3 linked regions of the Drosophila melanogaster genome follow. The protein of the gene in region 2 interacts with the protein of the main gene of each other region in a pairwise test. Each region holds a gene or a part of one and is shown on either strand. Other genes may lie near its edges.

Region 1 (3,356 bases), on a different chromosome or scaffold from region 2:
GAATTTGCTTCTCCAAAAACATGGTATCTGGGCAACAGAGTGGATTTAATTGTATTCATATAATTTTTATTAAGACTGACTACTAATATTTTCAACTCATTAACCACCAATGTGTAAGCCGTAGCAAATTCTCCTTTCAGCCTTGTGTAAATTTTGGCCAAGTTGATTTGCATGAGTGGAAAGGCCAATTAAACAGACACACTGTTGGGAGAATTAACAAAGCGTCATAAGCTGACCCACACAAGCAAGTTGGCAAACAATGGCAAATGCGCAAACAGAAACATATTGGTCAAGTTGAAGGCTCAACCACGCCCCCATTCCGCCGGGCGACAGTTAATAGATTTATGCAATTGATGTTCCCTGACTGCGATAAACTCAACAAAGTGGCATAAAGCTCGGGTAATTTCCGCCGCCTGATGGACGGAGGACTCGCCGGGCGGAAGGACCTCGAAACGTCCATCAAAAACTGCGACCAGAACTGTACTGATAAGATATGAAAAGCAATTTACGTTAGCTGTCAGCGACAAATGCGCCCTCGTTTCGATTTATTTGCACATTTCATTTAACGACGATTACGTTCATTGACACTTTAAAGCCGTCGCTAATTAATGCGCCTGATTATGTGGTCGAAGAATATGACATATCCATAAATGGGCGAGAAATACGTTTTGCGGCTGACATTTTTCGAGTGCTCGCAATCGCAGGAGGCGTTCACACAGAATATTTTGTGATCGCCAACATGCTTTAGCAGCAGACTGTGGGGCCTCTTGTTCAACACCCGGAAATTGTCGCTGTTGTTGAAGGACACACGATTCTGGTGCCAGTCGAAGTAGCTGAGATGCAGATTCGATGGCCTCAGCTTCGTTCTGCCCTCGAAAATGGCCCGCCAGTCTACGCAGCTTGTAGAGTTCTCGAATCGCGACTCGCGCAGACTCTGCTCCAGGTCCAGAAAGCTGGAGATCTCTAGACCCTTCTTCGAACGCATCACCAGGTAGACGACGGTCTAAAAATTACAAAATGTACACATTTCACTACACATAAATGTAACCTTCTAACCGAAATTTGCTTTTCGAGCAGCTTCTTCTCTCGATTGGCAAACTGTTGGAGCACCTCATCTTTGTTGTTCAAGTAGTCTCCAAAAAGTTGGAGTCCTCGTAGTCCCCTTGGCTTTAGAAGCACCAACTCTTTCTCCTTCCGCTGGTAGAATTGCTCGCGGGTGAGCAGATTACCCAGGCAATTCTTACCGCAGGCATTCTGGATCAGGTTCCTCTGGATCTCTTTGTTGCCCAAATAGCGAGTGTCCTGGATGGTTATGAAGCTGTCTACATAGTCCTGGTAATGATTAAAGTTAATCAGATTCATTCCGCGCGAAACTCAAAAAACTAAAACTGAAAAGCTGCTGAATGGCAAGAAAACTGTGATTTCGTGTAAATCAAAATGTATAATATTTTGAATAAGTTCGAGCAAAATACATTACTGACAACAAACTGCCAACTTTGGCTCAAAAGGCAAAACTTTTGCTGGGCCTGAAGAAGCAGAGTTGTTCTCATATTCAATTTCGAATGAAAGTAGCTGAGCACAAAAAATATTCCTTCTAATTTTCGAAACTCGTGAAAAAGTCTTATCTTAATTGAAATTTGTTTGAGAAACTGATAGCCGGAATGGTTTGTAACAATTTGTAACAGCTTTAATTTCATGTGCGCACAAATAATTAAACATTTCCCACATAGAGTTCCCTTGGCAGAATCCGCTGCGCTGTTCGTGTGGCAAATTTAATAAATGGAAAAAGTTTCACAATGCCCAAGCCCCGACTGTGCCCTTGTCCCTTTTAGCCCAGAACTGTGAGTATTTTCAATTACACTTCCCTATGTGCCACGCCCTCTCCCGCCGCCCATCAGGGGCATTTCGCATATTAAACTAATTACTTCATCAACATTTTAAACTGCCAGCCAGCCAAAGGGAAAATTTGCATTTTCAGCCTGTGCGTATGCAGCGCTCTTTGTCCTTTTCCGCCTGATATCCCGTTGAGCGCACACTGTCGAGGATTAGCAGTCTAACAAGTGACACCTAGTGTTCCGCACATCGCCCTATGAATCCCAAGGACTTTCAGATCAGATCAGATTTACACATAAACGGTAACCAGTTGATGAACTTGCAACGAATAGTTTATAGTCAACTAAAAAATGTACCCAAGTCTATGAAATTGTACAGGATACTGTAACCTGCCTTAAAAATAAATCACTTTCAAAGTTCCTTTCGCCATTTGAGATTAATCACCAGGTAAACCAATTAAAACAATGCCAACAGCCGCTGCTAATCAGCCATAATTTATATATCAAATAGGGTGTGTAAGATGTCCTGCACTTCCTGGCAGATTTCCAGCTCGCTTTTCAATTTCCACACACAATACGCAGCTAGATTTTCCCCTTGCCTGCGTGAAGGTGTGTGTCTGTGTGAATTTACGCTATTTAGACACGCTTTCCCACTGTTTGCAGTTGTTGCTGTCGTCGCTGCAGCAATTAACATGCAGCCGCTGCCGACACTTGGAGCTCAGTGCTCCTCCACGTGCAGATCCCCCTCCATAGTTTTCCTCTGCATTTTCCCAAGCCTTCTCACAATTTCCCTTCCCTCCCCCCTCTCCATCACTTTGGGGCAACAACTGCTGTTCCGTTTTGCATGCTTTGTCACCATCTTGCCGCTTGCCGCCGTCTTGAGCGCGTAAATTGCTACTTCGTGGGCCAATCCTCCTGCTCCCCGCTGAAGTCACGACATACCCACTTCCCGCCAGTCTACTGGCAGGACCTACAGGACCGCCAGGACTGCCAGGACTCGCATTTCGCCCGCTGCGTCTTGGCCGTGGCCATTGTTTGACTTGGTCATTAGTAAATGTACTTTGTCGCAGCATAAAAAGGAGTTAAGTGCGCACTCTAAGGATTTATGTGCATTACCAAAGAATGAGGCGGCAATGCTCAATGCTGCCTCGGGAAAGTCGAGGCTGCTTTTGCCATGTGTTAAGTGCACATTTCTGATGAATGAGTCGGCTGGCTGCAACTGCATTTCAATTGCAGAAAGTGCTGAATGGACTGAGGGCTGGAATTTATAGTTGAGCAGTTGCCGTCATTATCGCACAGGGCATGCCAATCATCCACTTGAGCAGTTGCATAGATTGAAGTTATCAGAGAACTTCTAGATATGTAAATCATATTTTTTCAAGCATTCATACATTTCGAGCATGACAATGGACATGATTGCCGAAAAGCGTAGAAAAGCATACTGCTTGCATGTGCAAGTCAACCAGGAAGGGGTTTTTATAATTCCTATTTTGATTTCATTTTGCAGACCCCTAACTACGAAAC
Region 2 (2,926 bases):
TCACAGAGGCAGAGGGCTTTCCGTCGGAGGCCGCCACCACGAGTCATTGAGCCGATTGAATATACAGCCGGAAAACGGGAACCACGCATTGGCGAACCTTGTGTAGCCCTAAGTATTGAGTAGATGGCCACAGGCGATGGCCTCTATGCATTAGACCTAGATTAGAGATCGCCGTAGTCGGCTCCGGTGTTCGGGATACCGAAGACCGATATATCGGTTGCACATCCGCCACGGAGCACATGCGACTACGGCCCTGTCTTAACGTGACTTAAACGTAATTGTAGGCACATCTAGCACGTAAGCAGCTGCGGCGCCCAATTCTACCATTTAAATGTCATGAGGCTGAAGTGCTAAAACGAAAAAGATGGGCTGCTACTCAGCTGGAACATATTCGAAACTGATGATCCACACTTGTCTTTTTCAAACAAGATCTCTAGGCCGTAATCAATCAGCAATAAAGTACCACAATAATCGAATAGTAGATAATAATCGTCGGGATTCCGTCAACGCGTTTCTTTACTCAGCTATTTTGACAAATGCAGGAAAATGCATCATCTCAGTTGTCTAAACTAGTTAAGATTGTTTGTAACAGCTATAACACCTAAAGTTTGCCAGTCTTTTGAGCCATGGCCAGTGCGTTCTCGTGGGCAATAACCTGGAACTCCTGGAAACGCTGCGAGACGCGTTGGTTCATCTTCAGATACTTTTCCATGCAGTTCAGCGAGCACTTCTCCTGTGAAATGGATGGGCATATTGAAATCGCTGATTTCCACATGGAGCTTCCCCACGGGCACTCACCTCGGAATCCTTAACATCCCGCGTTGTAAAGTCGCGTATGCAATCTGTGAAGCACGTCTCGGACAGTTTGTTGTAGGACATTAGGAAGTCGGAAAACTGAAAGTTAGAACCGAAAACATATCAAATGAAAACCACATTGCATCACTTGGCACCGCCGGTCCTTGGCATGAGATGGTATCTTCGTGTCAACTCTGCTTACCGTCTTAATTTGATCCTTGTCCAACTGATCGATGGCTATGTTTTCCGGTGTCTTAGCCATTTTGTTCTGCGATATTTTATTCAAAATTGCCGAAACGAAAAAGGGCCAATAATAATGTGCCTATATAATAGGGACAGCTGGGTGTGCAGGGTTGCCAGATGTTAAAAAGCCATTCCGTGTTCTCGACTTATCGATATGTTATCTTTTGAAGTATGTTATGTGAAGTATCTGGTTCGGCCGACTCAAAAATTAACCACATCTAGTTTTACTCTTAACATCGGGTATATGAAATTAAGCAAATGTATCCATACATAAATTAAGGTATATTTATAATAATACTTTAACTAAGTACCCTTAGGTTGTGAAACATTTAATTTAAACTATTAAATAGAATAAAATGATATTTCAAAGATCGATATTCCTATAAAATATCGATAGTCGCATATCTTATGGTCAGCGCTTTACGGTACTGCACCTCGTTCACTTTTCAACACTGGAGGGCACGCCATCTTTTTTTCCTCACAAACACTTTTTTCTGCTCCTGCTTTGTGGGTGTGCTCTTTGAAAAACCAAGGAGAATTCCCTCGGAATAGCATCAAAACAAACTGGAAAATTGACTTTGGACAAGTCCAGTGGTACAACAAATACCAAAAATCCATTACAGAACCGGAGGAGCAGCACCTCCAGCCACATACATATTCATACATAATGCCACGCTACCGTGAATGGGATTTAGCCTGCAAAGTTTACGTGGGCAATCTGGGATCCTCGGCCTCCAAATACGAGATCGAGAACGCCTTTAGCAAATACGGACCCTTGCGCAACGTCTGGGTGGCCCGCAATCCGCCCGGTTTCGCCTTCGTCGAGTTCGAGGATCGTCGCGACGCTGAGGATGCGACCCGTGGCCTCGACGGCACCCGCTGCTGTGGCACCCGCATCCGTGTCGAAATGTCATCAGGCCGTTCACGAGAGGGTCGCGGCGGTGGCGGTGGAGGCGGCGGTGGTGGAGGCGGATCCGGTGGCGGCGGCCGCGGCGGTGGCAGTGGCGCCCGTGCTGGAGGCGGTGGAAGGGCTGGCGATGGCGGTGGACGCTATAGGTGAGTACGGCACAAAAGCATTACATTTTGCATCCCCAGAATAAACCAGATAAACTAACTAACCAACCAACCAAAGCACCCACTTACTACCACTACCCCTCTCTCGAGATTATGAAATCATAATTTTTGCCATTATGTGCAAAAAAGTATGCAAAAATATATATATAAATAAACATATGTATACATATTTATATAGCGTGTGTGCTTGTGTGTATGTATGCATGTGAAAAATCGATTCGCGTATACATACAAAAGCGGTGCCAGCCAAAATACACACAGTCACACATACGGTGGGACACCACTGTTAGCCATACATAAACACACACAGTGGCGTCCGTGAAAAAGAACAGTCCTACCGCGCGCACACAGTGGCGTCCGTGGCCGACAGTCCTGGTTGCTTTTGCTACGTCAATCGATTCTTTTTAGCTCGTATTTTGTTTTTTAAGGGGAATCTTGTTTTAGTATCACATTTCATTGCTCATTATATGCACCCCGAGGTCCATAGTTTAAAGTTCAAAGAGTATAGCTTTAACTAGAGAAAACGTTTTGTTTGTTGTTTTTAGTAAAATTACAAAATACAAGAAAAATGAAAAGAAAATACAAGAAAACTTAGTAAAAACAAAGTAAATCGATCGCTTGGAGCCAGTTTTAATGTGGTCTCACAATCATTTTGCAGGATAAAGTCTTCTTCTTCTACTACAACAAGCACAACAAGAACTACTACAACAACAACATCAATAATAATAATAATAATGATAATTAAAAGAACAACAAAGAAAAAAGAAAAAACAACAACAGCTACTACTACTAGAACTTCTACTACTCCTCTTCC
Region 3 (4,337 bases), on a different chromosome or scaffold from region 2:
CACCTATAATGATGCTTCCCTTTCATCATATAGAATATGGAATGTGCTTCGGCACATACATGTATTCATTTGCATGCCAAGTTTAATATTTATCCCTACAAAATAAATGGCAAAAAACCAATGAAGGCGCTTTTTGGTAAAAGAGTTTTACTTCTAATGGAAATTCAAAGTAGGATTCATTAGCATTTTCAAGTTTTTATTTGTTTGCAACTTAAAGATTCAATCGATTTGTGTTTAATTTGCATAATGAATTTAAAATTAGTTTAATGAAATATATTTTTAAAATATGGGTAAAAAGTTGACTATTTGTTTTTCTTGCAAATGCCTGTAAGTTTTATTTAACTTGCGAACGTTTTAAATAAAAACCACATGAATTAATTTAGTTTTGTTATAATTAAATACTTTAATTCTATAGAAAATTCCTGTTTTTCGATAAGCCTTTTGGCGGGTAAGACTTTCATTTTCTTCATAGGTAGAAAATTGACCCATTTTTCTAACCGCTGTAATTGAAAACCCATCAAGTAAAAAAATGTTTTGATCTTGAGAGATTGACACTTGAATTTTATTTTGTTTTGTTAATAAATATTTATTCGTTTCATTAGTAATTAGTTTATATGCTTATTTGAGAGTTACGCAGATTACACAGTAATAAAACAAATCGATTGGAATGGCTGACAAAATGTGCCAACTAATTAAGCTACTTAACACAATTAGTATTTGTTATAATACGTGTAGATGAATTGAATTTGGCTTTCAAACAAGTAGTCACACAGTTGATATTCCTAGTTAATACTAGCTATAGTATGCTGAGCTATTAATACCTGTTGCAGTGATATTAATACGTTAATTGATAAGTACAAATGGCATTTGCATTGCGAAATGATTCGAGTTTCATTAATACTAAAGGTGGCTAATAACAATAAAAATGGATGTATTTACACTATGAACTACAACTACAACTATGCTATAATGTAGGGTGTCTACTGTTCGGCGTCGCTGGACCCGACGCTCTTGTCGGGAGTGTGGGATCTGCTGGACGCCTTGGAGGCGCAGGAGCGCACGGACAGATCCTCCGGCTCGCTGTCGCAGTAGCTTTCGTTGGAGGCCTCACTGTGCGCCAGTGGACTCAGTCGCTTTAGTAGCGCCTCGTTGAAAGGATATGTTTCGAGATCCGGCTCCGATCCGCCGCTGGCCATTTGGTTGGGATTGTAGCTGGGTCCACCTGGTCCTCCGCCGCCGGGCTGCATGGAGGCTGCGGCCGCAGCGAAGGCCAGGAAGTTCAAACTGGCATTGAAGAGCTTGCACCAGTCGAGCAGAGCCGCTCCCTGGTTATCGGTTCCAGTGGGCGGGGCGTTTGCCGGAGTCACTGGTGCTATCACAGGCGCTAGATCCGCAGGATTCGGGAAGGGTGCTGGCAGTAGGGGCATTGTGGTGTCCGAGAACATGGGAGTCTTCGCCTGCTCCGTGACAAGAGCTTGTGGTGCGGAACTGTTGGCCTCCAGGGCATTGTTGTTCTTATCGTTCACTTGCTCCGGCTGATTGGCGGAGTTCACCCGCTTGGCCGGATCCTTGGCCCAGTTCTTAACACTCAGCAAGGGGTAATTGTTTTTGCTGTAATCCTCGGAAGCAGCGGGCGAATCAATCACTTTGTTGTCCTCTGATTTCGGCTGTGCATCTACCAGGACATCGGCAGTCTGTGGGGTGAGTTTGGAGTTGAGCAGGGCCAGAAGATTCAGCTGGTGCAGCATGTTGTTGGAGTAGTCCATCACGCCGGCCTGACCCGGATGCAGTGCACCCTCCGGATGCAATCCACCGTTCTTTTTTACAAATTCCACAAGGCTAAGCTTCTCCAGCAGGGATTCATTTTGCACTGGGTAATCGGCTGGACTGTAGGGCAGTGCACCGAAGCCCAGCTCCTCGTAGTTTGGAGGCAGTGCCACGAACTTCGGTGGCAGCTGGAGCTGCAGCTCGAACTTGGCGCGCTTTTCCGGTGGCGTGTCGAGACCCAGGTGATCGGGGCCCAGCTGGCGGCACATGAAGCGCAGCTTCTGCTCGTTCTTGCACCAGCCACGCAGCGTGGACTCCGGCACTCCGATGTCCCGCGACACACTCGCCTTGGTTTCACCATTGTGGATGCGCTGGATGGCACGCACCTTGTCGTTGGGCGTGAGGTTCCTCAGAGGACGCTTGCCGCGCGTGCTCATCCGGATGTTCATGTGCTGGTAGGCGGAGATATCCATGGTTCTATTTCTGGTTGCGCTGGCGATAGCGATTGCGATTACGATAGCGGTTTCGAAGCGCGGACTTTGCGGATGCGACCACCGGTGTGCACTCCTCGAACTCGCAGAAGGATGTGATTGTGAATCCGATTCCGCGAAAGGCGAGCTGCGAACTGCGAACGGCGACAGGCGAACGGCGACCGCCGAGATGATCCGATGATTTTGCGGCGAAGAGAACGGCATGACGTTTTTCTCGCTTTTTCTCGACCAATCGGAGCAAAGCGCCACTCTCACCTTTCTCTCTCTCTCTCTCTCGCGCGCGCACCCACCACCCACCAGTGCAACAACTTGTTACTCATGTCCTGCTCACGAAATTCGCTCTGTTCGGCTCTCTTAACGGGTTTGATGTCCTGACCATCATTCGCGTCCCTCTTCGCGGGCTGCGTATGTGTGTGGTGGTGTTGTGGATCTAGATATTCAGCATGCAGGATGCACATTTCCAAATCGGCTCCTCCACGTGGCTGCGTGTGTGTGTGTGTATGTGCCCGTGTGTTTATATAAAAACCAGTTATTTACCTCCCATAAACATTCCCTCCTGCGAAAGTGTGTGTGCGTGTATTTGGCCAACCTTCTCGCATTCGCATGTGCGTGAGCGGATCTGATACGGACGTGGACCTGGTTGCACTTTTGGGTTGCGAATCTACCGAGAATAACACAATTCCACTCTATATTATTTGCACTCTCCATCTGTGTGTTTGCACTAATTTCCATGAGTACTCTTTGTCCGTTATTTGTGGTAAATATTTTCATTGCACCCTTATCTTATGAAGATAATAGAAAATATATAGACTAAAAGGTGATCAGGCTAAACTTATTAACACAAGTTTTGAATTCACTGCGTTTTTTTAAATATTTTTATTTATATGTATAAGTGCTCACGAAGTACAATAATATAAAAGAATAGCACATACCTTATATGGAGAACTTGCATAGTTCTTTGCTGATGATTATTCGCACACAAAATTGTTTTAACCTTCATAAAACGATGTAATTCATATAAATATATTATTTATGGATCACTTCTAATTTTTTGATTGCGACTGTATACTAAAAACGTACGTAATGTACATAACACCTTTGTTGGAACACCTTTCTAATTGTAATTCTTTGATTCTACCCCTAATCCAAAGAACTATGTATATGCTGTCAAACACTGTTATTGTTATTAAAATGGATTATAATGTCTCAATGAATCTCGTCGTTTAATTATTGTTTAAACTATTAATGCGTCTGCGCCGTCCACTAAAGAAAAAATAACAAAAGCTTTCAATCTCGAGAAAACTATCAGCATTCTAGAAGAAGAACTGCTTTAAAAGCTTTCAGCCTGGTAAATATACCAAATCATATTATAAATTGCGAAAATTGGCTAAGTACACTTTAAAATAATCATTTTAGAAATGCTAATCCGTTCAATATTCTCCTTAAATAATATCACACATCCCTTTTTTAATACTTTTTTATTGTGTTATTAAAAGACACAGTTTAGAAAGTAAGTAGCCTTTAGTATTTATGTTTGATTTACACATATTTAAATAAATTTTCTATTAACTATAATTTATTAGATTACATCTACTTGTATTGATTAATTTCCGTTTTGCTGTATGTTATAACTATATCATTATTTATTATTAAACAATTTTCATTCAAGTTTATTTGTCACAAAACTGTATTTTAAAATGAATGGATTGTTTTAAATTAAATATGAAACCTACACAATAAATAAACGATTGCAAGCGTACTCAAATCGTAATTATCGATTAAAATTAACAATTTGTTGACATACCGCATTGAGATACTCTTTCTGATACATAAAGTCAAAATAAGTGCACATTTAATGGAAAAATCAAATTGCATTAGATTTATAAGTATTTGCAGTATAAGTATGAGGAAACGGTATTTATTTTAAGTCTCAATTTATACATACATACAAATTTAAATATATACATAACCTATGTTGGCAGTTAGCCCTTACATTTTGTACATACACTTTATTGTTATTATATACATAATTTGTTTCAGTCGAAGGCTTATTAAACTAATTCTGAACGCATACGTCAA

What was found.
Region 1: the proteins of Tim9a (region 2) and CG3528 interact in a two-hybrid assay, tested with the Drosophila melanogaster proteins (one large-scale study listed by BioGRID).
Region 3: the proteins of Tim9a (region 2) and danr interact in a two-hybrid assay, tested with the Drosophila melanogaster proteins (one large-scale study listed by BioGRID).

The regions. Positions count from the first base shown.
Region 1 is NT_033779.5:2,516,595-2,519,950, forward strand, and holds CG3528 (uncharacterized protein), read right to left. Parts: upstream 1,444-3,356; 5' UTR 1,363-1,443; coding exon 1,057-1,362; intron 1,004-1,056; coding exon 602-1,003; 3' UTR 508-601; downstream 1-507.
Region 2 is NC_004354.4:13,383,468-13,386,393, reverse strand, and holds Tim9a (Tim9a), read right to left. Parts: upstream 1,185-2,926; 5' UTR 1,058-1,184; coding exon 998-1,057; intron 895-997; coding exon 799-894; intron 734-798; coding exon 602-733; 3' UTR 501-601; downstream 1-500. Other genes in the region: Ype (yippee), read left to right, coding at 1-50; Rbp1-like, read left to right, coding at 1,706-2,094, 2,771-2,926. UniProt on the Drosophila melanogaster protein: Mitochondrial intermembrane chaperone that participates in the import and insertion of multi-pass transmembrane proteins into the mitochondrial inner membrane.
Region 3 is NT_033777.3:25,136,136-25,140,472, reverse strand, and holds danr (distal antenna-related), read right to left. Parts: upstream 2,402-4,337; 5' UTR 2,241-2,401; coding exon 981-2,240; 3' UTR 570-980; downstream 1-569. UniProt on the Drosophila melanogaster protein: Probable transcription factor with a role in the retinal determination (RD) network. Regulates ato expression and is required for normal R8 induction and differentiation.